Pelodiscus sinensis: one gene and its partners. The protein of the gene in region 1 purifies or fractionates together with the protein of each later gene. This does not show direct contact. Links are inferred from orthologs where the notes say so. Each region holds a gene or a part of one and is shown in the gene's direction. Other genes may lie near its edges.

Region 1 (10,008 bases):
GGCCTGATTCATGTTTGATCTCTCGACTCTGGCTCTGGTTTAGATGAAGAAATAAGGAGAAGTTAGGTTCTGGGTATAAGTGTATAGGAGCAAGAAAAAGCAGTTGCTTACCTTTCACATAACATCTTACAGAACAACAGTTGTGTTGCTCATGCCCCTCCCAAGTAAGTGTGTGAGCATGCCATGTGCAGAGTCGTAGGAAGATTTTTTCCTCTGGCAGTACCCATCAGCCAGCTGTGGAGCCCCCTGGAGTGGGGCCTTTATGGTGCTGAGCCTTCACCTGCTGTGTTCCTTCTTGCCGGAAAAGCCTGACAGAGGGGACGCAGGCAGGTCTTGGAATGGGCACGAGCACCACACCTCAAAGAGTAACAGTTACCAAAGGCAGACAGACATTTCTTCTTCAAGGGATTGCTCATGTCGATTCCAAGCAGGTGACCTCCCAAGCAGTTCTCTGGCGGAGGGGTCAGAGATCACAGAGTTGCAGATTGAAGCACTGCTCTCCTGAAAGCAGTATCATTTCTGGCATGTTGATAAATGGCGTAGTGAGATATAAACCCTAAAAAATCCTGGATCGGCACATAGGCCCAGATGGTGGTGAAGCCTGCACCTGTGAAGACTGTACAGTCAGCAGTGGAGCTAGGATTCTGGAGAGACTGTAGCAGGCGCTAATACAAGTTGTGATCTCAGAAGAAATCCTCTGGGAGGTGATAGTGAGACCCTTTATTCTGTCAGCAATGAAAACAAGGAGTCGGATACATTTCCTGAATGGTTTAGCACGTTCCAGATCGCAGGCAAGGGCATGCCTGACATCCAAGGAGTGACATGCGCACTCTGACCCATCTGGCTTTGGATAAAAAAATCCAGCAAAAAATGTCCTGGTTAGCATGAAAATCTGAAACCTCCGGAGCAAAAATGCTGGTGTGGCCTAAACTGAACCTTATCCTTATAAAAATTGCATAAGGCAGTTGGAACGTCAAAGCCTTAAGGTCAGAAACTGTTCTGGCTGACAAAAGCCACTAGAAAGGCCACTTTCCAAGAGAGAGAGAGGAGGCAGCACCTCGCTGGAGGCTAGAAGGGCAAGCCCATCAATTTGGACAGCACAAGACTGAGGTCCCATTGGCTGTCTCACATGGGGATAAAGTCTGTCCTGGCCCTTCAGGAAATGGCTCACCACTTGATCAATAAACACGCAGCAGTCAAGTGCACTCTCTCTGTAGCCACTGCCAGGCCTGGTGCTTTAGTGGAAGAAGGTAGTCCAGAACAACAGGGATAGAGGTTTCCCCAGGTTGAATGCCCTTTTAAAGCAACCACAAAAAAAACTCTCTTCCAACTTGGCAAAGTAGAGTGTGTGTGGACGGCTTCCTGCTGCCTAGAAGAACCTCTTTCACTGCCACCGAACATGGCAGCTCCCGCACATTTAACCATGGAGCATCCAGGCTGTGAAATGGAGGGACTCCGGGCTGGGATGCTGAAGATGACTGTGATCCTGAGTGAGCAGATTCTGGATCGGGGCACAGGAAGAGGCATGTCCACCAACAGCTCTAGAAACATGAACCAGTGCCATCTGGGCCACACCGGAACTACCAGGATCACCCACGCCTTGTCCTGACAGATCGTGAGCAGGACCTTGGGGATGAGGGAAGTGGTGAAAACTGCCACCTTTCCATGGAACGAGGAAGGCATCTGCCAGAGCACCCAGGCGGTGACCGAGGAAAGAACAAAAGCTCTGGCACTTCCTGTTCTGGCACATTGCAAAGAGTTCTTTCCGGGGAGACCCCTGCCTCTGGAAGTGACCACTGGTGCAGCAAAAGGATCTGCTGAGCTGACAGGCCAACTCGTTCTGAGTACCAGGCAGATACAAGGCCTTCGGGTGTATTTTGTGAGCACTTGAGGACTTTGTGACACAAGGGAGGGGTGAGCACCACCCTGTTTGATATAAAACAAACAGCACTGGTGTTTTCTGCTAGAACCGAAATGCATTTGTCCTGCAGGCAAGGCTGACTGCCGCAGTTCTGTGACCTGCATTGGAATCACCCACTCGAGCCCATTTCCAGCCTTTGCACCACAACCGACTCTTGTCCTAGTCACAGAGAAGGGGTCTCCTGCAGACAGTCTGCAGGCTGAGCCACCCCTGGAAGGGGGGCAAAGACCTGAGAATGACTCCAATGTCCAGCTGCTCTTGCTCGTTTTGGGGAGTCCACGGACACCAGACTCAACAGCATGGGCTGTTCCCTAAGCACCGCAGAGTTTCCAGGCTCAGGATGCACTCTCCTGGCCGTATCAGCCTTAGTTGTAGGTGACCTTCCCCCCCCTCCAGCCGATGCTGCCTCTTAGACGGCATTGGGGAGCAGTGAACAATGCTGAGATGTTGCTCCACCCCTTTAGGATCCAGGGAATGCCGGTGCCAGGGAGTCTTCAAAGCAGAATCCTTCAGCAATGCTGTCCCACACTGAGGATGTCTGTTTTGGCACTGGGCCAGGCTGCACTGGCTGGTGGTGGAATCAGGAGTCTGAATCTAAAGGATGGTAACCCCTTTGTCCATGTGATGTGCCTCCCCTAAGCACTTGAGACAAGAGTTGTGAGAGTCTCCCATGGGCATAGACTTCTGGCAAGTAGCGTGTGGTTTAAAACCCTGGGAGCAAGGCATGCCTCAGTCCCTGGGGGAGGGGAGGATGGGACTACTCCCCACTAAAAAGAAAAAGCTATTTACATGATATAATTAGCACTTAACTAATGATGGAATAACTACAAGACATTAGAGCTAGGGAAAGGCTTGCCCAAGGCAAGAGAAAGGAAGCTTCAACCTCACTGGCTGTAAGAAGGAAATGAGTGAGGAGAGGATGGGCAGTGGCTTATATACAGCACCATAGGGGCAGTGGCTTATATACAGCACTGTAGTGGCACCACTCCAGGGGACTCCACAGCTGACCAACGAGTATTGCTGGCGAAGAGCTTTCTGACGACTGTGCACGTGATGCGTGCACACCTACTTGCAAACGGCATGAGCAATCACTCGAAGAACAGAAGTTGCCATGTGAGAAAGCTAGAGATAAATTGGAGACTAAGTTTCATGAGAAAATAAAAGTTAGCAAGTGCTTGACCCAGAATGATGTTTTGATTAGAATGTTTTCGAGAATCATGAATGTATTAAAATACTGTCTAAGTTGATAGTGTGGGAAGGACATTGGCACAAATGTTGATTTAAATAGTGTGCAATAAAAAAAGGTAACAAGGTGGTGGTGGAAATAGAATTATGATAAAGAACTCTTTAATTATATTACAGCATCCAAGAAGAAGCCTTCCTAAACTGCAGGGAGCCCCAGTGATCAACAAGGTACTGTGAGTTTCCAGGGTTATGAGGCTGTACTTCACTGTTAGTGGACTGATCACCCTTCAATTCACTATTTTATCTTTGAGTGAGAGGATAACAGTATCATTAGTAAAAGAGTAGCATTTGGGTAAGTGTAAGCGCATGTCTGTTTATTAAAAAGAAAAGGTAATGAAGCAAATTTTGGCTGCATAATTTGGCTGTTACTTTCGTGGTCCTCTGCTAAATACGTTTTCGCAAACCAACTGAGAGATTTGAACCCGAAACCTGAGTTGGGTTTGATACACCCTTATCTTAGTTACTTAATATTAATTGTGAACACTTGCATCATATAAGTTACAAATGTCTGGCTTAGTTCCTGGACTCCGACTCCAGCTGACTTCTGGCTTGGTTCCCTCTCTGTAGGGCTGGTATCTTTGCCCATTAGTACAGAGAACAAGCCAAAGCTCAAAGTGTAGTACCCTCCCATCAGCCACAGTGGTTCTCAACTCATTTCAGTCCACAGACCACTAGGCCAATCAAAACATTTTCATGGACTTTGGACAACGTTCCTGTGGACCACCAGTTGAGAGCCACAGGGCTAGATAAAGAGTGCCTGGAGTAGTAGGCCTGGTGCAGTATTAAAGCAAATGCTTACAGGATTACTGCCTAGTGCATACATTTGTCTAAGTTGCTACTAGCATTGCTAAAACAGGCATTTTTAAAAATTATTAGGCACTAAATATTTACATTAAAGCATTTCAAAATGGTAGTATGCAAACATCTCAATCTACTACTAAAAAGATGATTTGACAAAATAAGATCTTATCTGAGGTATCAGGAACATGGGGAGGTAATAATATCATAAAGCATACATGGTGGTATGTAAGTTGCTTGTCCCAGTCTATTAACGTTTGAGTATCTGTGTACAGCCAAAAGAAAAACAAAAATTCCTTCTGGTGACTTGCCATGGGGCATTTGTGCTAATGCATTAGAACTACGCCTTGAGGCCAGGCAATAAACCTGGCAAAGTGGCTGTATCACTGACCCATACCTGTAGTCTTTGTCTGCATCAGTGGTTCCTAAACTTTTCCAGATGGGGACCCATCTTGACAATTCAGGAAGATTTGGTGGCCCAAGACAATTCAAAAATGGGGGGAGAAGGTGAGGCACCTGGGTAGACACCTGGCAACTCTTTTGAAATGCATTGGCCACCCATATTTGGGTCCCAACCCATAGGTTGGGAAACCCTGGTCTACATACAAGAAGCATGGTGGTCTAGCCAGGAGCCCTGGCTGGTAGGGGTGATAACACCAAAGCTTCAAAAGCATTAAGCAGCTGTAACAGCTTTACCACTGCACCATACTGCAACCCTCACCTGCTCGGAGCCCCTCAGGTTTGGGGAAATAGCAGAGAAATCGGACAGCAGGTCTTTGCGCAAGCCAGCCCCCAGCTCTGCTGCCGTGGACTCGAGCAGGGGCGAGGTTGTGACCTCCTCCCCACACAGCAGCCCCAGAGGGGAGAGGAGTTCTTGGGCCATGGTCCCCACAGGTGGCTTCTGCAGGAAAGGGGCACAAATAAGATCAGCTCGACTGCATGCCCAGCCCCATGGCACGCTCCTCCCCCCCCAACGCACCCCCCACTCTGACCCGCCCCACAACCATGTTACGCCTCCTCCCCCAACACCCTTCGAGTCCAGCCGTGCTCCCCCCCCCGCCAGCATAGCCCCCCCTCCGGCATAGCCCCCCCACGCCGCTCGCCCCCCCTCCGGTCACCCCCCCGCCGGCATAGCCCCCCCACGCCGCTCGCCCCCCCTCCGGCATAGCCCCCCCCGCCAGCATAGCCCCCCCCTCCGGCACAGCCCCCCCCCGCCGGCATAGCCCCCCCACGCCGCTCGCCCCCCTCCCCCTCCGCTCACTTCGGATCCGTGGTGATTCCGTCTTGTCTTTGTTCAAACCTCGCGGTCCGCCGACTCAGCCAATCAGAGCGCGCGCAGCGCTTCCGCCAATCACAGGGGGGCCTCAAAGCGAGGTTGGGGCGGGGCAAGGTGAGCTCACGGAACAGGGCGTGTTTCCCGGCGAGCTTTGCGCTTCTGCCCTCGCCCCCGGCCGGGGTCTAGCGAGGAAAATGGCGGCCGGGCCTGGGAGTGAGCGAGGGGCGCGAGCCTGTTCGGGTTTCTGCGCGCGGGCAGGCGGGAGTATTGGGGGGCGGGGCTCCGCGGGGTGAGGGGCGGGGCTCCGCGCGTGCGGGGTGTGGGGCGGGGCTCCGCGGTGTGAGGGGCGGGGCTCCGCGCGTGCGGGGTGTGGGGCGGGGCTCTGTGGGGTGTGGGGCGGGGCTCCACGCGTGCGGGGTGTGGGGCGGGGCTCCGCGGGGTGAGGGGCGGGGCTCCGCGCGTGCGGGGTGTGGGGCGGGGCTCCACGCGTGCGGGGTGTGGGGCGGGGCTCCGCGGGGTGAGGGGCGGGGCTCCGCGGGGTGAGGGGCGGGGCTCCGCGCGTGCGGGGTGTGGGGAGGGGCTCCGCGGGGTGAGGGGCGGGGCTCCGCGCGTGCGGGGTGTGGGGCGGGGCTCCGTGGGGTGTGGGGCGGGGCTCCGCGCGTGCGGGGTGTGGGGCGGGGCTCTGTGGGGTGTGGGGCGGGGCTCCGCGGGGTGAGGGGCGGGGCTCCGCGCGTGCGGGGTGTGGGGCGGGGCTCCACGCGTGCGGGGGTGTGGGGCGGGGCTCCGCGGGGTGAGGGGCGGGGCTCCGCGCGTGCGGGGTGTGGGGAGGGGCTCCGCGGGGTGAGGGGCGGGGCTCCGCGCGTGCGGGGTGTGGGGCGGGGCTCCGTGGGGTGTGGGGCGGGGCTCCGCGCGTGCGGGGTGTGGGGCGGGGCTCTGTGGGGTGTGGGGCGGGGCTCCACGCGTGCGGGGTATGGGGCGGGGCTCCGCGGTGTGAGGGGCGGGGCTCCACGCGGGCGGGGTGTGGGGAGGGGCTCCGCGGGGTGAGGGGCGGGGCTCCGTGGGGTGTGGGGTGTGCTGCAGCCTTTGAGCCTCTTGGTTCTGCCGCCAGAGCACAAGCTGCTGGGCGCCGGCCCCACCGAGCCCTGGTCCGTGCGGGAGAAGCTCTGCCTCGCCTCCTCTGTCATGCGCAGCGGGGACCAGAACTGGTGAGTGAGGCCCCTAACGGTAGCGCGCCGGCTGCGAGCCCTTGTCCCCTGGCAAGGCAGCCGCTGTGCGCAGGGGGCAGGGTGCCCTGCGCTTTGCATTGCTAACAGGCCGGGGAGCGCACGATGTGCCCTGGGTCTGTCCAAACCAGTAACGCTGCTGCAGCACTTACCCCCGGAAGCAACTGGGAAAGTTCTGCACATTACCTGTGTGATGGGTCCGTCACTGCGCAAGCATCCTCCCCCCTGTGGGTTGGTGTGGAGAGGAAGGCAGGTTTCTAGTCATTTACCTGCTCTTTCTTGCAGGGTATCTGTCAGCAGAGCTATCAAGCCCTTTGCTGAACCTGGCCGCCCACCTGACTGGTTTTCTCAGAAGGTAAGATGCTTTGGAAGAGGAATCCAGCTCTTGCCAAGACTGCCGTCTGGGGGTATGGCTGCTGAAAGATCAGTAACTTGAGATATCAGGGGAGGAAGCTGTTCATCTGAGGGAGACATGGAGTCACTTTTTTAATATTGCCATTCTCCTAGTACCAGTTATCCCTATGCAGAACTGGTCTTGGCATAGTTCTCGCCAACCCACTACTCTGAGAATATCCTGCAGTTTCTGCTTGTAACTGTAATATTTACCTTTTTTGGATGAATATGTTATTAAGCGAGGCTTTTCTTTTCTTTGACAGGTCAGAGTGGAGGGTAGAGTAAGCCCTGGTACATTAAGCTCACTTGCAGTCATAGATTTGACTTCAGTGAGTGCAATTGTGTCCCCATCCATATCTCAGAACACACCCTGTGGGCATTAGATCTTTGAAGAGGAGATCCCAGTCCTACATGAGCTTTCTCTGATACCATTGTCTGTGATTACTGTTCTCTGTGTGCTCTAACTCCCTCTGCATTTTTTTAGCACTGTGCATCTCAATATTCGGAGCTTCTGGAGACCACAGAGACCCCCAAGTGAGTGCAAAGAATGAGGCATGTGATCTCTGAAGCAGCTGTTGGAGGGCTCAGCAGTTTATCTGGTTGTGCATTTGCCAATACTGTCAAAGACAGGCACGTGGAAATCTGAGTGTGGTATCTGAATAAGAAGGGTGACTGTTTCCAAGGGAAGAGCAGCTGAGGAATACACACTTGGAATGCTCTTTCTGTTCACCCATTCTCCTACTTTAGAGGTCTAAATGCTTTCAATTCTAAAAATTTCTGTAGCTGATATTTGTAATGTTCAGGGCTCGACAAACTATGTAATCTACTCGCCCATGGCGAATAGATTACAACCTGGAAGAGCTGGGTCCGGGCGATCTGCGCATGCGCAGATCGCCAGACAGCATGGCAGGCGAGCGGGGCTTGCCGCGGCTCTGCGAGCCCTGGTAATGTTTATTCCTGAAATGGTGTCATTCATTCATATACCTCACTCCCTGCAACCTTTAAGGTGTAGGAGTTCTCAAAGTGCACTGCACAGTAGGGATGTAATAGTGTAGTCAATTAACTGTTAAGCGAAAGCTTATAGGTTAATGCTATAGACTACATGCATTTTTCCCCCTCCCCCCACACCAGTAAATTTGTTAGCAGGCTGGTCAGCAGTCCAGGACCTACCGGCACTGAAACTTTGCATTTAAAGTGTTTTAGGAGGTAGGCAGGCAGGCAGCTTGGCTCAGTTCCAGCTCACGCTGGGTCCAGGAGCTCAGACACCCTCTCTATCCCCGGACAGGGACTGCTGCCACCCCTGTATCAGAGGCAGCATCACTGGCCGCAGCAAGGGGAGCTGGTTTTTAAACTGGCTCCTCTATCAGAGCAGCTCCCGCCTGATACTGCTGAGGAGCCCCCTGCCACTCCATGCTGCTTCCTCTGATTCGGAGGCAGCAGCATGGAGTGGCAGGGGGCTCCTCAGGAGTGGGGCCGGATGACTGCCAGCCCTGCCACCGAGACTATAGAATAGTCAAGTAACCGATACAAATTCATGAGGTTATTCAGCTATTCAATTAATTGATATTTAACATCCATACTGCAGTGTCCTTCTTCTGACAACAAAAATTACTACATTACCCTAGGAGGGGCGACTGAAGCCTGAGTTCCCCCCATAGCCCACTGCTCCAGACTGGGGGCCAAACCTGAAGCCCAAGCCCTACCCTCCTGGTGGGGTGGGGCCAAGCTGAAGCCCATTGGCTTCAGACCCAAGGAGGGGCCCTGTAATCTGAGCTCTGTCACCCAGGGTTTTTGGGCTTCGTTCCCAGAAGGTGGGGCTCTGGCTTTGACTTTAGCCCATGGCCCCAGGAAGTCTAAGCCTGCCCTGAAATAGATCATGAGCAACTTTGGGGTCCTGACCCACAATTTGAGAGCCCAAATATAGTGCATTGTAGGGCTTCTTAGTTACCTGGGCTACAATTCCCAGCAGAGCTCCCCAAAGTAGTATTTTAGGGTAGTTGCAATCCAGTTAGAAAGATAACGTAACTTAGTTTCATCCTGATAGTATATTAATATTAAACAAGTTGGTGTTTTATAAAATATATGCCATTAGTATTGCACCAGAATAGCTTTGCAACAAAGCCTTAAAAACATGAGAGGCCATATTGGGTCAGACCAAAGGTTCATCTATCCCAGTATCCTGTCTGCCGACAGTGGCCAATACAGATGCCCCAGAGAGAGGAAACAAAACAGATCATCCTCATGTGATCCCTCTCCTGTCACCCATATCCAGACAAACAGAGGCTAGGAATACCATTCCTACCCCTCCTGGCTAATAACTATTGATGGACCTAACCTCCCTAAATCTATCTAGGTCTTTTTTTAATCCTGTTTAAGTCCTAGTCTTCACCACATTCTCTGGCAAGAAGTTCCACAGGTTGACTCTGCACTGCATGAAGAAAAACGTCCTTTTGTTTCTTTTAAACCTGCTGCCTATTAATTTCACTTGGTGACCCCTAGTTCTTATATTGTGGGAATAAGTAAATAACTTTTCCTTATTCATTTTTTTCCAGCAGTCATTATTTTATAGATCTCTATCATATCTCCTCCCCCCCTCAGTCTTTTCTAAGATAAAATGTCCAAGTCTTTTTAATCTCTTCATATAGGACCCATTCCAAACCCCTCATCATTTTAGTTGCCCTTCTCTGAATCTTTTCCAATGCCCAGAGCTCAACAATCAATGTAATCTACTCGCCTGTGGCGAGTAGATTCCATCCCGGAAGAGCCGGGTTCGGGTGATCTGTGCATGTGCAGAACGTCTGACAGAGTGCCTGGCGAGCAGGGCTCGCCGTGGCTCAGCAAGCCCTGCCAATTCCAATATATCTTTTTTGAGATGAGGTGACCACATCTGTATGCAGTATTCAAGATGTAGGCATACCATGGTTTTATAGAGAGGTAGTAAGATATTCTCTGTCTTATTCTCTATCCCTTTTAAAATTATTCCTAACATTCTATTTGCTTTTTTGACTGCCGCTGCACACTGAGGAGATGTTTTGAGAACTATCCACAATGACTCCCAAGATCTCTCTCTTGAGTAGTTGTAGCTAAATTTGTCCCCATCATATTGTATGTATAGTTGGGATTATTTTTTCCAGTGTGCATTACTTTACATT
Region 2 (10,424 bases), on another chromosome or scaffold:
TGTCCCCAGCAGCCTGAATATAACTCAAAGGCACTGGGGAGAGAGACTGGGAGAGACCCAGGGTCTGTGGGAAAAATTGTGATGGAGGACAAGGAAGGATAGTGGGCAACTGAGAAGTAAAGAGTACCTCTCCTATTTCCTCCCCTTGTGGAATTGGGATATTTCTAGCCTGAATCATAGACTGAGCACAAACAATACTCCCATTTGTGTTCTTTCGTAGTTCCCTGACTGCCTGTCTCCTCCTTCTAACCATCATCAATCAACCCAATCTGATTTCACAAACTGATCCCATTCCCACTGCTAGCAAAAACCCAATTTGTTCCCCTCCCAGTTTAGTCTGACCCCCAAGCTTCTTCCAACCATTTCTCCATTTGCTCAGAAGCATACCTATGCTTAGAGCACTGTGCAGACACAAAATTAATATCTGCATCTACAAAAATTATCTAAAGATATTTGCAGTTGTAAAGCGGATATCTATGGATTTGCAGGGCTCTACCTATGCTTCCAGTTTGGAAACAATTCCTTGTACCTAATCTCTCCAAAGTTCAGAATCTCCTGCATTCCAAATCCAAAGTCTAAGACATACACCCATCCCACATACACACAAAACACTAGGGCTACGTCTACACTGGCCCCTTCTTCGGAAGAGGCATGCTAATTTCTAACTTTGGAATAGGGAAATCCGCGGGGGATTTAAATATCCCCCGCGGGATTTAAATAAACATGGCTGCCGCTTTTTTTGCGGCTTGGGGAAAAGCCAGAAAAGAGCGTCCAGACTGGCGCGATCCTCCGGAATAAAGCCCTTTTCCGGAGGATCTCTTATTCCTACTTGAAAGATTTCCCTATTCCAAAGTTCTAAATTAGCATGCCTCTTCCGAAGAAGGGGCCAGTGTAGACGTAACCTAGCTGTATCTGAACAACTTGTCCTGCTTGTTGCTGCACTTGGAAAAATGGGAAAGGTCTCTGATTGCAGAAAGCTGTGGATTTTAATTTTGAGGTTGAAGAAAGTCAGTACTACGAAAGTCTGGGTATGCCTTTCTCAGTACCTCCTGGATACATTTCCCTATAAGTTTCTGTCTTTTCTGGTATGATGAGGCATTGATCTTGATTGGGGCTCTAGGCACTAATGTAATACAATATTACTTGAATACATATATTCCCTTTTGTATAAGGAAGGTCTTGTGTTTGTCAAAGCAGAGGAGTCTGAGTCATATTTACATTCTATTCATAAACTCTCACACTGACTTTGTGATTTTAGGGAAATAACTGTTCAGGACTACCCCTGGAAGTGTGCACTCTTATTTGAGAACAAGAAGGCCTTGTTCAGATTTAGTTTAACCAGTTCCTGAATCTGTATAGACAAGCCTTTAGAACACAGTCTTTTGGAAATCAGGTCACAAATGTGTTTGTCACTTACCTGTTTTAAATGGTGGTAGGCAAGTATCTTGCAAGTGTTTTCTGTGGATAAATGTCTATCAGATTGATCTTTGGAAGAAACGCTATATAAATGCAAAGTAGTGTTAGAAAAAATTCTGTTGTATTTAAGAAATAGGATGTGGATCACATTAAAACTAACAATATAAAAAGGCAAGATTAAGGTTCAGGTTGTCCAGAAGTGCACGTTAGGTTTTAAATACCTAATTGTACAACAGCAATATTGCATGAAAGTCTGCACTTGATTTTTTTTTCCTTCCAAAAAAATCCAACACTGCAAATATTTTGTTGCTATTAGGATTTGAAAAACGCTGGACATATACTCGTAGCAGATTTTTTTTTTCTGTCTACAGTGAAATTACAGTTATGGGATTCCTGCTATAACAGCCTGTCTATACACAATGGCTGGGGAGGGAACTAGTGACTAAATAGTTAAATAGTTTAGTTATTTAAACTATTCTTGCAGTGGATTATTCTTGCAGTGTCAGTGTGACCTTATCTATCCATATTTTGGAACAGCATCAGCTCATTACACTAGCTTTACAAAGAAACTTTGGCATAGTGATATTCAACTTCGCAACACCTACCAGTGATTAGAAAAAGCACCATTATTCACAAAGCCTGCATTAGGTGCCTGGGATCCCTGTAGGTTGGCTGGGGGAGAACTGAGTACCTCACTATGGGATTCACACAAATGAACATGGTAGGTAGTTCTGCTTCTACAATAGCTGTGGGAGATGCCAAGCTGAGAGGGAGGGTGTGTAAAGCCCCATGCCTCTCTTGAGCCAGTCTGCAGGGAGGTGTCTCTTCCTGATTGGGATTCTTTGCGCAAAGCTTCTTTAAGTGTTCTAACAAGAAGCCTGTGAGGGGCATGACCTCTCAAAACTTTTAGTCCAGAAGTGGATTTCCCACCCAGGATGTGGGACACCCTCAGTTGCACACACTCTCTCTGATTTGAACTAAGCTAACTGTTAGGCAATGGGGTATTATGATGTGGGGCTCCCTCAGTCTCTCCCATAAAAGCTGTCCAAAGTGGATAAACAACTTTTTTAAAAGATCACTAGTTCAAGGAGATTGGATGTCTCCCCTTCCAGGCAAATGCTCCAGCAGCCAGACAGGCTACAGAGTCATCCATGAAATCTCTCTGCTCAATAGCCAGGGGACTCCCCCATTATGTAGGAAATGAAGTTCAAATTGCTGCTCCAAATCAGGCAGAGCAAGAATTTGAAAGCAGGTCTCTCTCATCCCAGGCAAGTGCTCTAACCACTGACTTATTAGCACTGATGGATGTGGCTGTTGACACAAGAAAAGGCTGACCTGCCTTAGGCACCTCACTGCAGAAGCGAGGTAGCGGCTGTGAATTCAGTCAAGGAATTTAACTACCTCTGAAGAATTTGGCCCTGCCCCTTGACATTTCCCACCAAAGTATCTGAGCCATTCCCACCAATGAGGAGTGTGTGTGGAGGTTTCAACCCCCTTTTGTAGGTATTTAACTTTCCCCATGCATTGGATGGCTCACCAGTGGCTGAGAATTCACTGTACGTCAGGGGAAACCAGTTTTATTTGTGAATCTAGCCCTAGATATCTAAAGAGGCAGACAGGGTCCTACAGTGATTCTCAAAAGTACCCGGGTGAGCAAGTCAAAATTACTTCAGTAGAAATTGAATACCCCAGGCATAGTTAAAAATCCTACATCTTCAGACATCCAAATAACTTTAAAAATGTGCCCCTTTGTCACCGGAGACACCTTATACAATGATCAAATAAATTCTATTTTAGATGAAGACTATTATAAAATGCTAATGGTACGTTCAAGATGGTAATGCTGCAATATCTAAAAATGCCACTTGCTTAGATTGCCAGACAATTGAAACTTTCATTGAGTAAGATATGTTGAAGGTCCACGCAGAGTAACTTGTTACAATATAAATACCAGGGACTTCTTATTTTTTGTTACTTATAAAGCCCGCCCATCATTAAATCTTTGAGGGTGTATGCACATAAAATATTCTGAAACTTTTGACCAAAGTTAAAATGACCCGTCTTCCCTCAGAACATTACTTGAGGAAATAACAGTATTATCCTCTCCAGCAAGTCTGAAAATGACCTTATCTTGCACTTATAAATAGACTTTTTCCCCTCAGAATACTGATTTGTCAAAATTTTAAGTGTTCTGTAGAGATGGTTTAATTTTGATGAAGGCTAGATGGCAAGCAGGCAGGGCTTCATGGAATCCTGCCAGACTTTCTATCTGGTGGATTGATGAGGAGTCTGGGAGTGGCTTCTTGACAGCCTGCCCTTTCAGTTTTCAGCATAGGATGACTTGTGGGGCTCATCTACACTGGCCCCTTTTCCGAAAGGGGCATGTTAATTTCACAGGTCGTAATAGGGAAATCCGCGGGGGATTTAAATATCCCCCGCGGCATTTAAATAAAAATGTCTGCCGCTTTTTTCCGGCTTTTAGAAAAGCTGGAAAAGAGCATCTACACTGGCCCCGATCCTCCGGAAAAAAAGCCCTTTTCCGGAGGATCTTATTCCTACTTTGAATAAGATCCTCCGGAAAAGGGCTTTTTTTCCGGAGGATCGGGGCCAGTGTAGACGCTCTTTTCCGGCTTTTCTAAAAGCCGGAAAAAAGCGGCGGACATTTTTATTTAAATGCTGCGGGGGATATTTAAATCCCCCGCGGATTTCCCTATTACGACCTGTGAAATTAACATGCGCCTTTCGGAAAAGGGGCCAGTGTAGACGTAGCCTTGCTGTGATAGGGACGCCCTTTTCATTGAAAACTTCTAAATTTAAGCTCTTGTTTTAATTCAGAACAAGATCAAACTTTGAGTTAATTCTGTTTGAGGATTTCAGTTTCTCAGCATAGCAACAATAAAACAGTAGGATGGGAAACGAATTCCTAAATCAAAAGTGCTTCACCAATCATCTCCTGCCACCACATTTACCAAGTTTATGACAGTTGACTTAGCAATTGCCATACTGCATCAATCAGTGATGTCTTTGGTCTCCTATCTTGACAGTGATTAATACCAGGTAATTCAAAGAAACCTGCAAGATACCTAATGGAGTTACATGGAAAAACTTCTAGTTCCTGACAAAATGTCTACATGGGGTTTTAGCTGAGTATAGAATGCCAATTAATTCTAACTCAAGGTTGAGGGCCTCTGTAGATATACACATAGGTTGCAATATGCTTTCAAAGATTTGTGCTTGAGAAGGGTGAGCAGAGAACTATTAATCATGTTAAGATAACTCCATTGGAAACATCTTCCTTCCTGATTGTCACTTGACTAGACCCAGAAGCGGCCCAAGGCTGGCTGCGGCAGCTGGCGCCCCAGGTGGAAGGCGCGATTGGCGCCCCCACCTGCACGGTCGTCAATGGCCGTGACGTAATGACGGGGCGCCCCTGACTAGACCCTTATTATGGTACACCCACCTCCCGCAGACACGCAATGGGTAACTGTTCTTGAGACTCATTGGAATAAATGGAAAGGTCCTAAAAAGTCTCCCCTTAGTCTAGGACAGTGGTCCCCAACGTGGTGCCTGTGGGCGCCATGGCACCCGCCAGGCCATTTCTGTGCACCCGCCGAGTGATCGGGGCCGGCCCTGAACCTCGGCGCGTGGCGCATGGATGGTGCTGGCTCCGGGCACGTGGCACAGGGGTGGCACCAGTCCCGGGCACGCAGCACATGGGCAGTCCCGCCCCCAGGCGCGCAGTGCATGGGGCTGTGCCGGCCCTGGGTGCGTGGCATAGGAGCGGCACCAGCCCCAGGCATGCAGCATATGGGCTGTTCCGGCCCCAGGAGTGCAGTGCATGGGCGGTCCCGCCCCTTGGCACCCGGCACAGGAGTGGCACCGGCCCCAGGAGCGTGGTGTATGGGCAGCCCCAACCCTGGCCGTGCAGCATAGGAACAGCGCCGGCCCCAGGAGTGTGGCGCATGGGTGGCGCCAGCACTGAGAACGCGGCGTATGGGTGGCCCTGCCCCCGGGTGCATGCACAGCCCCCCCCCCCCCCAGGTACCCGGCACGTGAGTGGCCCCACCCCCAGGTGCCCAGCACCCCCAAAAGGTTGGGGACCACTGGTCTAGAAGGCAGGAGCAGCTAAGCATTTGACAAAATAAAAGCTGTTGTGGGAAAACAAATGTAGCATGACCAACTCTTGCACTAAGTGGTATCTTCCTTAAAAACACTTGGAATGATGTGTGGCTGCAAGATAATCTCACCGGCTTTTAAGAAAACCTGCTTCTAGTTGCTCTACAGAGATCGAGACTTAAAACGTGCCCTCGGAGTACTCCAGCCCCAGGGAACATGTCACACTCCCTCTCACAAAGCGTCACGAGGCTCCTGATTTTTACAGCCATGTGGCAAGCCTGGGGGGGGGGAGGGGCAGGACTGACTCATGTTTTCTGAGCGCCCGTTTAGCAACCTTGATAGATGCACCAGGCACCCGCTGTGCTGAGCCAGGCAGCAGGGATGCCGGGCAGCTGCATAAGCAGTCACGAGACACAGGCCCCGGCTCCCACCTTTCCCCGCCCCGGAGCGCGACCCAATGAACCACGCACTCAGCACGCCCGTGAGCGAGGAGTGGTGACGTCACTTTAAATATGGACGGAGTCTTTTGAGGACCCGAGGAAGCGGGTTGCCCGCTCTTGTCAGTCACTCAACCCTACCAACTCCGCCCACTCGCTGGCCTATGATTGGTCCGGGCGCCTCAGCGAAGGCCCGTCCCCACTCAGTCGATTGGCTAGCAGCAGGAGCCGGGTTCCCGGATGCGGGCACGTTCGGTGGTTATAAAGCGCTCGCGCAAGGCGGGAGCGGGCGCAGTTTGAATCGCGGCGGGTGCTGGGCTCGGGCTGGTGTGGTTGGGCACGCGCTCTTTCGCTTACTACCCGTTTGTGGCGCTGCAACACCGCTCATAATGGTAAGAGAGCCGCAGGAACGGGGCTCAGCGGGGAGACTGGGGGGTGCGGCGGCTACGTCGCCTTGCTGCGGGAAGGGCCGAAGCTGAACTGAACGCGCCGCGGAGGGTGAAAGCGCGCGAAGGAAGGGGGTTAACGGTGGGTGGTGGCGGTTGCCTGAATGGGAGGTGCTCATGCTAAACCTGTTGGGGGAGGGGGAGAAGAGGAAAGAAGGGAGATGGCGCACGCGCAGTAGTGACGCCACCGATGACCGGAAGTGGGTGGGGCGCATGCGCTCGGGAAGCTGCTTGGGCCTGCTAGCGTGGAGGAATTAGACACGCTGGTTAGATACGGGAGGCGCATGCGCTTAAGGCGCCGCGCGCCGGTTACCTTCACTGCTTGCGTTCTGTATGGGGTAGCATGGGGCACGCTGCGCTTGTGGCAGGTGCTGCTCCCCATTAATCTCTGCTTTTTTGCCTTAGGCTGGTGGAAAAGCTGGAAAGGATTCCGGAAAGACCAAGACCAAGGCGGTATCCCGCTCACAGAGAGCTGGCCTGCAGGTGAGGACTGGGCGAGCTATCTGCTTATAGCACAATCGCTCTGGACTGGGAAGGGTTTGCTGGAGAGCCCTCCAAAGTTACGGCAGAATACTCTTATTGCAAGGTTTTTAAATCGTGAGCTTCTTACATGGAAGATCAGGTTGAGGAATTTGTCTAGTCCAACCCACTGTTCAAAACATACAGTGGACGACTGGATCACACCTATGCTAGTGTAATCTCAGGGTGGAGAGCCTGCTAAAAGCACTCAAACAGTTACTTGAATTGCAGGTGTATGCTTTATAGTCAATGAGCTTGAGCGCTCAATGTGTGTAGAGGGGGTAGTTGTGTGTTGCTGCCTGAGTGCTGTAGAGAAGCAAGAAGTGTAAGACTGCAACTTTACACTCTTATCCCAGTGATGTCTGTCTGCCAGTCCCAAGCCCTTCCATGTGATATGATTGGTGTATCTTCTATCTTACAAGCCATTTCAGGTCTGTTGATAAAGCCTGAGTCACTTTAATTCTATTCTGACCCTTTGCAGTTCCCTGTTGGCCGCATCCACCGACACTTGAAATCAAGGACCACCAGCCATGGACGTGTGGGAGCTACAGCTGCAGTATACAGTGCTGCTATTCTGGAGTACCTGACAGCTGAGGTAAAATTGAACCATGGGGAAATGTGGCAAGCAGCTGACATTGCTGGCGCTGCATAATGACCAAGGTTGCTTGTCTTCTGAAATACTTCTACTATTGGAATTTGTCGTAGAGTTGTGTTCAAGAATCCTTGGTTTAATCATTTTCCCCTACAAGCCCATTTAAGTTGGTAAAAACATAAACGGATGTCCCTGTGGTCTGTTCTCAACTAAAGTTAGGTTGAGATCACTACATTGCTTAATGTAGTGCCATTTTAACCAGAAAGGACACTCTCTCAATGACTTAACCACCTGCATTCTGCTACAAAGACCTTTTACATCTGCACTGTCATTCATGTTAAAATTCAACACTCTCCAAAAAGGAATGAACAAACACTTGAACTATCTTACCCATTATCAAGATAGCTTCCCCAATTATCACCTCTAATACCATTAACTCAAACATCCCATGCTCCCCACCTCTAATCATCAATTCAGACACTTATCTTCCTTCCTTCCCCCCCCGCATCTCCCTCGTGTTCTGAAATGTGATTTGTCTATTCATGTGTGTTCATTTCTTTTAATTGTATCCTTTGGTATATATGGTTGTGACTATTTTCTTCCACTATTTGATCTGAGGAAGTGGGTCTGGCCCACGAAAGCTCATCATCTAATAAACCATCTTGTTAGTCTTTAAAGTGCTACATTGTCCTGCATTTTACATTGCTTAAGGGTGTGAAGAATCTGCACCTCTGAACATTGTAGTTAAAGCAGCCTAATCACCAGTGTAGATAATGCTAGATCAATGGCAGATCTTCTGTTGGTTTAGTTTTGCTTCTCAGGGAGGCTTATTATCTATGCTGATGTAAAAACCCCTCCTGTTGGCATAGGTAATGCCTACACTTGAAATGCTGTAGTGAGAGCACTATAGCTATGATGCTGTTGCATTTTAAATGATCTTTTAAAACTGTTTGATCAGATCTGAAATGGTTTATAAGCTACCCCAATCATATTGCATGGAGGCATGTGTGACTTTTTTCCAAAATGTCACAACTCTTTTGCCTTACTCTTGCAAAATATCTTCCCCTTCAAACTATGGGGAGGAGACTGAGGAATTATCCTGCAATGCAATCTGTTAATACTGTGTCCAAACTTAACAGTGCAGTCTGCAAAACTGTTACACAAGACCCTGATGATCTCTATGTAGCCCTAGCCTATGGTATCTTTCCGGCTATTTTGAAGATGTCATTAACTACTGCAATCTCTATATGGTGGGTAGGGTCTGAATGTACTCTGTCTGCAGGTTCTTGAGCTGGCAGGAAATGCATCCAAAGACTTAAAAGTGAAGCGCATCACTCCCCGTCACTTGCAGCTTGCAATCAGAGGAGATGAAGAATTGGACTCTCTCATTAAGGCAACAATTGCTGGTGGTGGTATGTAATTCCAACTCATAGCTATTCAAACTAAACTTCAAGTCAAATAGACTTAATTGCATTTTACAAAATTAATACACAATTGCAGTACTATCTGGATTTTGGATGACATAGGGAAAATGCATTTCAAAATTGCCTTAATTCTTGGTGTTTTTTCCCTTAGGTGTAATACCACATATCCACAAATCTCTCATTGGAAAGAAAGGACAACAGAAAACTGTCTAAAGGATACCAGTATTCCTTGTTATCTCAGGACTTTAATTAAACAGTTGTCCAGTGTTGGTGATTCCAGTGGACTGTATCTGTGAAACACAACTTTGCCTTTTTGTAATTTTGAGAAGATAAAGCTCACTGAGCATTCTAACATACCAAATTTCTGCATTGAAGTCTTAACCATATTTAAGTGTTACCATGGCTTCAAAGAAGCTATTGTATCTGTAAGGGTTTTTGATTAAAGATGACTGTTTTAGATCTGTTTGATTTTAATGTGAAGTAGAAGTTAAAGGAAATGTTTGGTTTTGTACAGACTACTTCCACACTAGTGGATGAATTCAATAAATGTTGTATCAATAATATTCTCTGTGCATTAGCTTTGCTTTGCTTTCTCAGCTGTTTGCCCAAAAAGCAACTTAAGACCTATCGGACACCCAGTTCTTGACCAAGGAAATGTTACCCTACTATGACATTGTAAAGTACTTTACTTTGATTCAAGCAAGTTCTGTTGGCAGAATGTCATTGCTTCAATTCTGATGGTACTTACTGACTCCTTATCTGTAATAAGCAACATAGATCCTAAGCTTAGCTGTTTAAGAGACATGAGCTTTAAAGGGGATGGCAGCATATTAATCTGTATTGAAGGGAGCTCCTGCTTACTAGCTTGTATAAATAGCGCCAAAGCTTATCAAATACAGCAAAAACAGTTTGCTCTAGACTACGACAGATGAATAAAGATTTCTGACTCTTGTTCTCACTTTTTGTATACTGCATGTTTTTGTTGAAGTTAAACATGTTTATCTAGTGCCTTTCAATATTGCAGTTTAAAACTATCTACAGTGGTGCATCAGTAGTAAGGCTATAATACTGTGATGTTAATGGGGCCTTGATTGTTTAACTAGATGCTACCTGGAATAGTGCTAAGCTAGAGCCATGATACCTGGCTACAACTATAGACTTTACAAACATAGTTGTAGAGGTACCTTAACATACTACATGAAGTGTGTGTGGGTTTTTTTAAAGTTAAATAATGGCTGTACTACTTTACATCTTCAACCGTGTCTTAAGAGAATACAGCCCTTTCTAGCTAGTGGGGAATCTTAACAATCTTGAGCTACATTTGTGCTTTGGGTGCTAGGCTGAACTTACACTTTCACAGAAGATTAAAAGCTAGCATGCAGGCTCCAGCTATAGAAACAGAAGCCTGGACTTGTTTCAGTTCTCCACTGCTGCTACTAGCTTCAATCCTCAGGTAAAGGATACAACTACAGTA
Region 3 (9,849 bases), on another chromosome or scaffold:
ATAATTTTTTAAGGGGGTACTTATAATTTTTTTTCTTGAAAAAAGGGTACTTTATAAAAAAAAAGGTTGAGAAACACTGCACTATAATCACTGTCGAAAGAGGTGGTGATGGGCAGATTAGCTATCTCAGGAAATTTCCTCCATTTTAAGCAGTAAACATAGAATCATAGAACACTAGAACTGGAAGGGACCTCGAGAGGTCATCGAGTCCAGTCACCTGCCCTAACGGCAGGACCAAGCACCGTCTAGATCATCCCTGATAGATGTCTATCCAACCTGCTCTTAAATATCTCCAGAGATGGAGATTTCACAACCTCCCTAGGCAATTTATTCCAGTGTTTAACTACACTGACAACTAGGAAGTTTTTCCTAATGTCTAATCTAAACCTCCCTTGCTGTAGTTTAAGCCCATTGCTTCTTGTCCTATCCTCAGAGGCCCAGGAGAAAAAATTTTCTCCCTCCTCTTTGTAACACTCTTTTAGGTACTTGAAAACCGCTATCCTGTACCCTCTCAGCCTTCTCTTTTCTAAACTAAACAAGCCCAATTCTTTCAGTCTTCCCTCATAGCTCATGTTCTCTAGACCTTTAATCATTCTTGTTGCTCTTCTCTGTACCGTCTCCAGTTTCTCCACGTTTCTTGAAATGTGGTGCCCAGAACTGGACACAATACTCCAACTGAGGCCTAATCAGCACTGAGTAGAGCGGAAGAATGATTTATTGTGTCTTGTTCACAACACTCCTGTTAATGCGTCCCAGAATCATATTTGGTTTTTTGCAACAGCGTCACACTGTTGACTCATATTTAGCTTGTGGTCCATTATGACCCCTAGATACCTTTCCACGGTACTCCTTCCTAGATAGTCGCTTCCCATTCTGTATGTGTGAAACGGATTGTTCTTTTCTCAGTGGAGTACTTTGCATTTGTCCTTATTAAACTTCATCCTATTTACCTCAGACCAATTCTCCAGTTTGTCCAGATAATTTTGAATTATGACCCTATCTTGCAACCCCTCCCAACTTGGTATCATCTGCAAACATCTCATGAGGAGAAAAAATGTTCTTGTAAGATTTCTGCCTTTCTGGGTTGAGAGCTCATAGAAATAGGTTTTCTTGTGGGATTTCAGTAACATCAACTACAACTTGGTAAATAGGCCTCTTCCATTTTGAAATCCTACCCAGAATCCAGACTGAAATGAGAACGTGGGTTCAGGGGTTCAAATCCAAAACCCAGTATTCAAAAGAGTTTAGATTTGAGATTCTGGTTTTGACCCATCTCTAAACATTTTATTTAACCATTTAACCTCTTTTAGGTATGTATAGAACATCAGTCGCCACTGTAAGAAGGGTTAGTTGGGTTGGATAAGTCTTGACAAGAAGACAGCGAACATGTAAAGAAACTGAACCTTTCTAATATGGAATACTTTCAATGAGAAACTCGTAAGTTTTTTCCTTCCTAGTTTTTGTTACTAGGGTAATTTACTAGGGCCTCTGTGCTTGTGAATTTCTGTTCCTGCTGTTTACTATTCATGTGAAATAGTAATCCTGTGTTTGTGACCAAAGTTATTTGCTGTGAACATTATTTTAATGCCACAGAGAGGATTAAGATTTTAAGAGAGAAATAAGCAGCAGGAATACATGATCACTAAGCAACAGAGAGACTGTTTCATGCATGTATGCTTAATAATAAAAAGGAAAAAAGGCAACACAGAAGGGATAATATATTATCACATTTTTTTCTGAATGGAATGTTTTGGGTAACAACTGTCTCAGGAGGCAACAGTGACCTCCCTTTTCAAAGTTCTCAGGAGCTTAGCAGTTCCTTCATTTTAAGCAGAGTGGTCTAGTTAGGACAGTATTGGCTTGAGGCTCTAGAGAACTGGACTCTATTCCCACCTTTGCCACTGACCTGCATTGCGATCTTGAACAAGTCACTTCCCTTTTCTGTTTCACCTTCCATCCTTCATCTGTCTTGCCTAGCTAGAATGTATGCTCTTTAGTGATGGGACTGTCTCTTACTAAGTATGTGCATAGCACCTAGCACCAATACCTTCAACTGGGACCTCTCTGTTCTATAGCAATACAAATAACATAAATATCTTGCCCCTTTCCAAAACATCTGATAGATATAATAGGGATGAACTCTTCAGGGTTCTTTAGAAATGTAGGCTTCTATAGAAACTACAGGCAGTCCCCGAGTTACGCGGATCCGACTTATGTCGGATCCGCAGTTATGAACAGGGTTTGCTCCTGGTCTGCTGGAGACCAGCAGACCAGGGAGACGGGGAGCAAAGCCTCGGAGGACGCCGGCAGCGGGACAACCGCGGCGCGTCTGGGCTGTCCGCTGCCCGTGTGCGCCGTGGCTTTGCTCCCCGTCTCCCTGGTCTGCTGGAGACCAGCAGACCAGGGAGATGGGGAGCAAAGCCTCTGAGGACGCCGGCAGCGGGACAGCCGCGGCGCGTCTGGGCTGTCCCGCTGCCCCTGTGCTCCGCGGCTTTGCTCCGGACGCCTATGGTACAGCAGCTGGGGCGCTGCTGGTTGGTCCCGTAGCTCCGCTCTGGGCACTACTGGACCAACCCGGCAGCACCCCAGCTGCTCTGCCCCAGGTGTCCCCAAGTCAGCCGCTGCTGAAACTGACCAGCGCTGACTACAGGAAGTCCAAGGCAGAGTTGCTCTGCTCCGGGCTTCCTGGAATCAGCCACTGATCAGTTTCAGCAGCAGCTGACTTGGGGACGCCTGGGGTTCTTAAGTTGAATCTGTATGTAAGAACTGGCGTCCAGATTCATTCTGTTGAAACTGATCAGCGGCTGATTCCAGGAAGCCCGGGGCAGAGCAACTCTGCCTCGGGCTTCCAGTAGTCAGCCACTGGTCAGTTTCAGCAGTGGCTGAATCTGGATGCCAGTTCCGACTTACATACAGATTCAACTTAAGAACAAACCTACAGTCCCTATCTTGTACATAACCCGGGGACTGCCTGTACTTGAAAAAATTGCAGAATTTAATAGGTTCTCATTCTCTATCGATAGATGTCCTTGTACCAACCTATTGAAGACAGAGAATTTTGTACAATAAAATCTTTAGGATGGTTCAGAAAAGCTATAGGAAACTTATTTTGTATTAAATCCATTAGCACGCTACGTGGGCTTAGAGGTAAACTATTAATTATCCCCAGCTTACAGATTTGCAAAGAGACAGACTGAGGCCTGCTCTGCACTTAAAATTAGATGGACCTTGCTACATTGCTCATGGCATGGCTGTGAATTTTTTTTTCCTGTGCACCTAGTATTCAGTATTTTCTCTTTTCCTCAGATGGATGGCTGGTGGCATCTGGGAGGGCGGGGGAAGGGAAGAGCACAGTAATTTAAAGGCGCAGAGGCCTTTTTTTTTTTCCGCAAAAAGATGGCTGGTGGCATCTGCTAGGGGAGAGGAACACGGTAATTTAAAAGCGCAGTGACCTTTTTTTTTTTTTTTTTGCTCAACCAATTCTTCCCTGCCTGTTCAGGATTTTTTGTGTAGGTATCTGGCAATCCTAGCAGCCACCAGGGGATGCCAAGGCTGAGGGGTGGCCACTGGGAACTAGTTGACTAGTCCCTCAACTTGTTGCTTCCTTCCCCCCCCCCACATCCCATCAGAGGCAGCAAAGGAGGGGGAGCGGGAGCTGGTGCTGGGATGAGTCAGCTTAAAAGCCAATTCCCCACAGCATCGTCTCTGCAGGGGGCAAGGGAGGCAGCGGGTTTGCCGGGACTGGGCACGAGCCAGGAATGAGCTTATTCCTGGCTTGCACCCAGTCCCAGATGCTGCGCCTCTGCTTTTTAAATGTATTAAGAGCCTGCCAGTTCTTTATACATTTAAAAATCAGAAGTGAAGCGGGAAGACCTGGAGCGAGCTGAGACAGCTGATTCCCTGCTCACACTTGGTCTCCCCACTGTGCTCCAGCCTTTTTACATTTAAGGTTGGTGCACAGTGGGGAGGGACCTAACACGAGCTGGGAATCAGCTGACTTGGGTCACACTGGGTCCCCCAGCTCTGCTTCAGCCTTTTAAATGTATAAAGAAGAGCCAATAGGCTCTTAATACATTTAAATGGCAGAGCCACAGTGCAGTTAGTTCCCGAAGCCAGGAGCTATCCCCACTGCAGCTCCCCAGCTTATTGACTAATCGACTAGTTGATTACATGAAATTTAACATCCCTATTGGGAACCCACAATAGGGATCAGGGTAGCTGCCAGAGTGTACCGGGGCTAAGGGGCAGATGTACAGGTGCTGGGCACCTACTGCAGGGATCAGGGTGGCTGCCAGGGGGCGTCAGGGCTGAGGGGTAGGGAGCAGCCACTGGACCCCACTACAGCAGTGGTTCTCAACTCGTTTCAGTCCACGGACCACCAGGCCAATCAAAAAATTTTCCTCCTTTTTGAGACATGATAAAAAAGAGCAGACAACGAACAGTTTGGTTTGAAATTTATTTCTTACTAACAGATTTTTGGTGCCTGCCCACACCTTGTGATTTTCGACAATGTTCCTGTGGCCCACCGAAAAAGGCACCATGGACCACCAGTTGAGAACCACAGCACTACAGGGACAAGGCCAGGGTGGATGTGCAGGCACTAGGCACCTACTGCAGGAATTTTGGGGTGGCCGCCACGAGGTGCTAAGGCGAAGAGGAAGCCGCTTGAGCCCCCACTACAGGACTCGCGGCGGCCGCCAGGGGGTGCCAATGGTGAGGGGCAGCCACTGAGCCCCCGCTGCAGGGCTCGGGGCGGCCGCCAGGACTGAGGGGGCAGGGAGCAGCCGCTTGAGCCCCCACTGCTTGGTTCGGGGCGGCCGCCAGGGGGCGCCAATGGTGGGGGGGGCAGCCCCTGAGCCCCCGCTGCAGTGTTCGGGGCGGCCGCCAGGGGGCGCCAATGGTGGGGGGCAGCCCCTGAGCCCCTGGCTGCAGGGCTCGGGGCAGCCGCCAGGGGGCGCCAATGGTGGGGGGGCAGCCCCTGAGCCCCCGCTGCAGGGCTCGGGGCGACCGCCAGGGGGCGCCAATGGTGGGGGGGCAGCCCCTGAGCCCCTGGCTGCAGGGCTCGGGGCGGCCGCCAGGGGGCGCCAATGATTCGGGGCAGCTCCTGAGCCCCCGCTGCAGGGCTCGGGGCGGCCGCCAAGGGGCGCCAATGGTGGGGGGGCAGCCCCTGAGCCCCTGGCTGCAGGGCTCGGGGCGGCCGCCAGGGGGCGCCAATGATTCGGGGCAGCTCCTGAGCCCCCGCTGCAGGGCTCGGGGCGGCCGCCAGGGGGCGCCAATCGTGGGGGGGCAGCCCCTGAGCCCCCGCTGCAGGGCTCGGGGCGACCGCCAAGGGGCGCCAATGGTGGGGGGGCAGCCCCTGAGCCCCTGGCTGCAGGGCTCGGGGCGGCCGCCAGGGGGCGCCAATGATTCGGGGCAGCTCCTGAGCCCCCGCTGCAGGGCTCGGGGCGGCCGCCAGGGGGCGCCAATGGTGGGGGGGGCAGCCCCTGAGCCCCCGCTGCAGGGCTCGGGGCGGCCGCCAGGGGGCGCGGCGGCGCTGCACAGAGCGGCGGCGCGGGGCGATGGGCGAGGCGGAGGGCGGCTCGGCCGGCGGCGGCGGCGGCGGCGCGGTGGCGGAGAAGCCCCCCGTGCCCGCGGCGGCCCCGGAGCCCGGCGCGCCGGCCGAGGAGGCGGTGGTGTGGAGCCCCGAGGTGGAGGTCTGCCTCTTCCACGCCATGCTGGGCCACAAGCCCGTCGGTGAGAGCAGGCCGCGGCCGAGCCCCGGCCTCGAGTAGCGGCGCCTGCCGGGAGGAGACCCGGGAGTGGGCGGGCCGCCCCGAGTGGCTCCCGCGGGCAGCGTCGGGGTGGGGGAGGTGCCGCTCATACCCCCCCCCCCCCCGAATCCGAGCCCCTCCCCCCCTCCCCGCAGCCAGGACTCCAGCCCCCGGGGGCCCTGCCGCTCCAGGAGCTGGGGCCAGTGGCTGCGGGGCCGGGCGGCTTTTCCTGCCTGTGGTCGCTGCCCCCACCGCCCCCCAGGGCCGGATTCCCGGGGGGGGGGGGGGGGCAGGTTCCATTATGTTTTCTTATTGGCCGGACCTGCCCCCGCGGGTAGGGATTTTTAGTTGCAAAAATAGGGGTCGGGCAGGAATTTTGAATATTGGGGAAATGTAGCGAGGCAGGGGCCCACTGCTGGGCTTTTCTTTCCCTTGCTCTGCCTGGCTAGGAGGGAGTGCGAGGAAGTGTGGGGGGAAAGGGTGTGGGGTCTTCTCCCCTTCTGCTGTTGGCAGGACATCTCTTGGGGCATGTTAGGTGCAAGTGAAACAATCCACAAGCAGGCTTGTTGACTTTTTGTTGCTCCCTCTCCCCTTTCAGAATTACTTGGTTGCAGCTTTCAGGATTCATTGCCTCTGGCTTAGCTGTGTCTGTGCCCTAAAAATGGGAGAAGACCCTGTGGTCCCAGCCAAGATTTTAATTATTAGATCTGCACAGAATCTGGTGCAGTCACTTAACTCAGGGTACGTCTAGACTACAGAGTTTTGTCGACAGATACTGTCGACAAAGCTTCTGTCGACAAAGAGCGTCTACACGACATTCAGTTCTGTCGACAAAGCAAACTGCTTGGTCGACATGGCAGTGTAGACGCAAGGACAGTTTACATTCAATAACGCCTTCTGTCGACAGAACTCTGTCGACAGAAGGCGTTATGCCTCGTAAAATGAGGTTTACCAGCGTGGACAAAACTGCTGAGTTCTGTCGACGTTATGTCGACAGAACTCAGCGGTAGTGTAGACGCAGGTATAGTTTTGTCGACAAAAGTCCACTTTTGTCGACAAAACTCTGTAGTCTAGACACACCCTTACTCAGTGAGGTGATGCACATGCCTCTCAGGAAATGTCGCTGATGGCTCTAACTTCCTTCCTTCAGGTGTGAATCGCCACTTTCACATGATTTGTATCCGAGACAAATTCAGTCAGAATATTGGACGACAGATTTCCTCCAGAGTGATTTGGGACCATTTGAGTACCATGTATGACATGCAAGCACTAGTGAGTATAGAAAACTGGCATTAAGGAATTCTGATTTCCAGTAGATGTCAACAGCTTTGATGTCATATGTGTTGGGCCTAATTCTTACATTGGTGTAAATTAGGTGACTTTTGTGAGGTCAGTGGACTTTCACCTGTGTAAAACTAGTATAGGAGAGAGGAAAATCAAGTCCCGTATTTCTTCCCTCTTATGCACTTGCTTTGATGTAAAATTTCTCTGTAGGCCCTGATCCAGTAAATACTTTGAATGCTTAACTTTATATGTGCAAATAGTCCTACTGACACACACAAAGTTCAAGCATTTTCAAGAAGTGGACAGTCACCCTCATATTCTGTATCTTGTCCTCTGGTAACCCTTATGGGACTTCTGATGACAGACTGAGATATCCTATTACGAATTATTTGGCCTTTTCCTGTACAGGTTGAACCTCTGTTAATCGGGACTCTCTGGACCATGGATGTTCCAGGACCAGAGAGTCCCGGTGGAAGGCTGGTGGCTGGGATCCCCACAGCTGGGCTGCTTGGTACAACCCAGCGGGACTGCCTGGTGTGTCCAGGAGCCCGGCGCGCTGCAGTGTGGCTGCAAGAAGCTTCCAGGAGCCTGGCACACTTCAGTGGGACTCCCCGGCACATCCAGGAATCTGGTGTGCTGCAGTGGGGCTTCCCGGGCATGTCCTGGAGTCTGGTGTGCAGGGAGCTGGGCTGCCTGGCTTAGCAGGGAATAGGGAGGGGGAGGGCTAGCAGTGCAACAAGGCTGGTGGGAAAGGAGGGCAGCTGGTCCAGGGCTGGGGGAGGAGGGGCCTGATAACGGGGGACAAATATGACATCCCCTAGTCTGGCAAAATCCCTCATCCGGGACCAGTCAGGTCCCAAGGGTGCCGGAACGGAGGTCCAACCTGTATATGAAATTACTTGGCATTTGTTTAGGAAATCTGAGCTGATAGTTATAATAAAATCACACTAAAGACATTTTACTTTTTTTCTTAAGCATGAATCTGAGATTCTGCCCTTCCCTAATTCAGAGAAAAATTTCATCCTGCCTGAGGAAATTATCCAAGAAGTGAAAGAAGGTGAGATCTGATGCTAGCTTTTATGTTGCAATGCTCTGATCAAGTTCTAGGCATGATTAGGCAACTTGAACTCCAGAAGAAGGGAAGAAGTAATGATGTACTAGGCTGACGCTGGTGTGTCACATCATTGGATTGTGTAATAATCAGGGAGAGGTAAAATAGTAAAAAGTTTAATGTAGATGGGATTTTTGATAACACATTCTATCAAAATCTCCCTTTGGCAGAGTATGCGCGTCTTCCACTTACTGAGGTGGGGAGGGTGGGGAAGGGTGCTATGTGCAGCAGGGAGGTCAAAATCCGGTCCTTGGGAATTATATGCAAGTAGTTAAAGGTTTATTCTTTTGGGGGTTAGGTGATTTGAATGTTTTAGTAAGACTGTGTTACTGATTAAGTTTCATAAGGCAATTGTTACAAGAGTTTTATTTACACTGAATAGCTGCAGTTCTATTGCAGGTGAAAACTAGAGCCCTGCATGGATACAAAAATGGTATCCACATCTATATCTGAAAAAAAGAACCTGGATATCTACAGATTTGCAGGGCTCTAGTGAAAACACTTGCTTTTTGGCAGGGTGCATCACAAAGTATCCATGTTGTGTAGGGAAACTGGAATAATTAATTTGATTGTTAATTTTGTATTTTGTCCAAGAGCACCACAGATAAAATCCTTTCTGCTTCTGACGGTGCATTCCTAAACACTTCTTGCAGTAGTTGCTGTCACTAATTACTTGAAAGCAAACTGAGAATCTTATCTTAAATGTAAAGCTTTAAAACAATAGATTTGTATTAATATTCAACTCTAGAATCTGTTCAATTAATGTTTTTCTGTGATTCTTTGCCTAATTTTGAAATTCCTCTACAGGAGCTTCCCTCTCAATATTCTGATGTAGCCAATACGTAGCCCACCAACCAAAAAAAATTTTTTTTTTTTTAAAGACAGTTAAACTTGGAAGGTCCAGATCATGGGCAGTTGGGGAAGGTCGGGCTGTGGGAGGCAAGCCCCCGGCCCTGCCCCTTTAGCCAAGGCCCCATCCCCCACAACGGGGAGGGAAGGAGAGTGGATGGGCAAGTGTGCACGCTCCAGTCTAGGAGTGCAGGGAGACTGGGTAGTGCGCAGCTTCAGCTTCCCCACCCCGAGCATGGGGAGGGATGGCACTCGAGGCAGCAACACTCCATCCTCAGTACACCTACAGTAGGCGTTCTGGGGACGGAGTGTGAGCAGGGCCAGGTTGGCAGTTGATACGGGCCACCTGTGATCCAGATTATTATCAAGTATCCAGTGCAGTTGTCCAAGACAGGAACTTGGAAGTTCCTACTTCTGAAAAAGGACAGTTGTTCTTGTGAGATTTTAAAGAACGTTAGAATGACTCTCAACTACTGGCTGCAATAAGTATTTCACTTAATATTTATAAAAGGCAGCATCAGTCCAAGTCATTGCCACATATTTTGCCCAATCGCTATTATATTTGTTCCTATTGAGAATACATTGATTGAAATATGGTTTTTTATGACATCTGCCCTGCTGTTTCCATAAAGCGATTGTGGCTCAGTTGTTGATTCCATTCATCTGTTTTTTCAGTAGTAACCTTTTTGCTTTACTTGAGACAGTGTTGACCTTTACAGTGGCCAGTTTTGAACACTGCACACTTAGAGCTCCTCCTGAAGTACCACAGGAAAAGATAAATTACACTTCTATTAAACAAAATTCATCATCTGCTTAATAACTCTACAGGAAAAGTAATGATTGAAGAAGAGGTGA

What was found. Proteins that work in one complex are often made in the same cells at the same time.
Region 2: the proteins of bromodomain-containing protein 8 (region 1) and H2AZ1 purify together in Homo sapiens (affinity purification with mass spectrometry; 4 studies listed by BioGRID and IntAct, with this or other methods). This does not show direct contact. The link is inferred for Pelodiscus sinensis from reciprocal best matches to the Homo sapiens genes BRD8 and H2AZ1.
Region 3: the proteins of bromodomain-containing protein 8 (region 1) and MRGBP purify together in Homo sapiens (affinity purification with mass spectrometry; 10 studies listed by BioGRID and IntAct, counting the BioPlex papers as one, with this or other methods). This does not show direct contact. The link is inferred for Pelodiscus sinensis from reciprocal best matches to the Homo sapiens genes BRD8 and MRGBP.

Annotation. Positions count from the first base shown.
Region 1 is NW_027465994.1:706,656-716,663, forward strand, and holds the start of bromodomain-containing protein 8, read left to right. Parts: upstream 1-5,358; 5' UTR 5,359-5,434; coding exon 5,435-5,453; intron 5,454-6,348; coding exon 6,349-6,445; intron 6,446-6,748; coding exon 6,749-6,818; intron 6,819-7,340; coding exon 7,341-7,390; intron 7,391-10,008. Other genes in the region: kinesin-like protein KIF20A, read right to left, coding at 4,686-4,847. UniProt on the Homo sapiens protein: May act as a coactivator during transcriptional activation by hormone-activated nuclear receptors (NR). Isoform 2 stimulates transcriptional activation by AR/DHTR, ESR1/NR3A1, RXRA/NR2B1 and THRB/ERBA2.
Region 2 is NC_134715.1:23,413,580-23,424,003, reverse strand, and holds H2AZ1 (histone H2A.Z), read left to right. Parts: upstream 1-6,118; 5' UTR 6,119-6,133; coding exon 6,134-6,361; intron 6,362-6,820; coding exon 6,821-6,898; intron 6,899-7,415; coding exon 7,416-7,529; intron 7,530-8,808; coding exon 8,809-8,938; intron 8,939-9,101; coding exon 9,102-9,163; 3' UTR 9,164-9,513; downstream 9,514-10,424. UniProt on the Homo sapiens protein: Variant histone H2A which replaces conventional H2A in a subset of nucleosomes. Nucleosomes wrap and compact DNA into chromatin, limiting DNA accessibility to the cellular machineries which require DNA as a template.
Region 3 is NC_134728.1:7,674,287-7,684,135, reverse strand, and holds the start of MRGBP (MRG/MORF4L-binding protein), read left to right. Parts: upstream 1-5,543; 5' UTR 5,544-5,558; coding exon 5,559-5,733; intron 5,734-6,900; coding exon 6,901-7,022; intron 7,023-8,009; coding exon 8,010-8,091; intron 8,092-9,822; coding exon 9,823-9,849.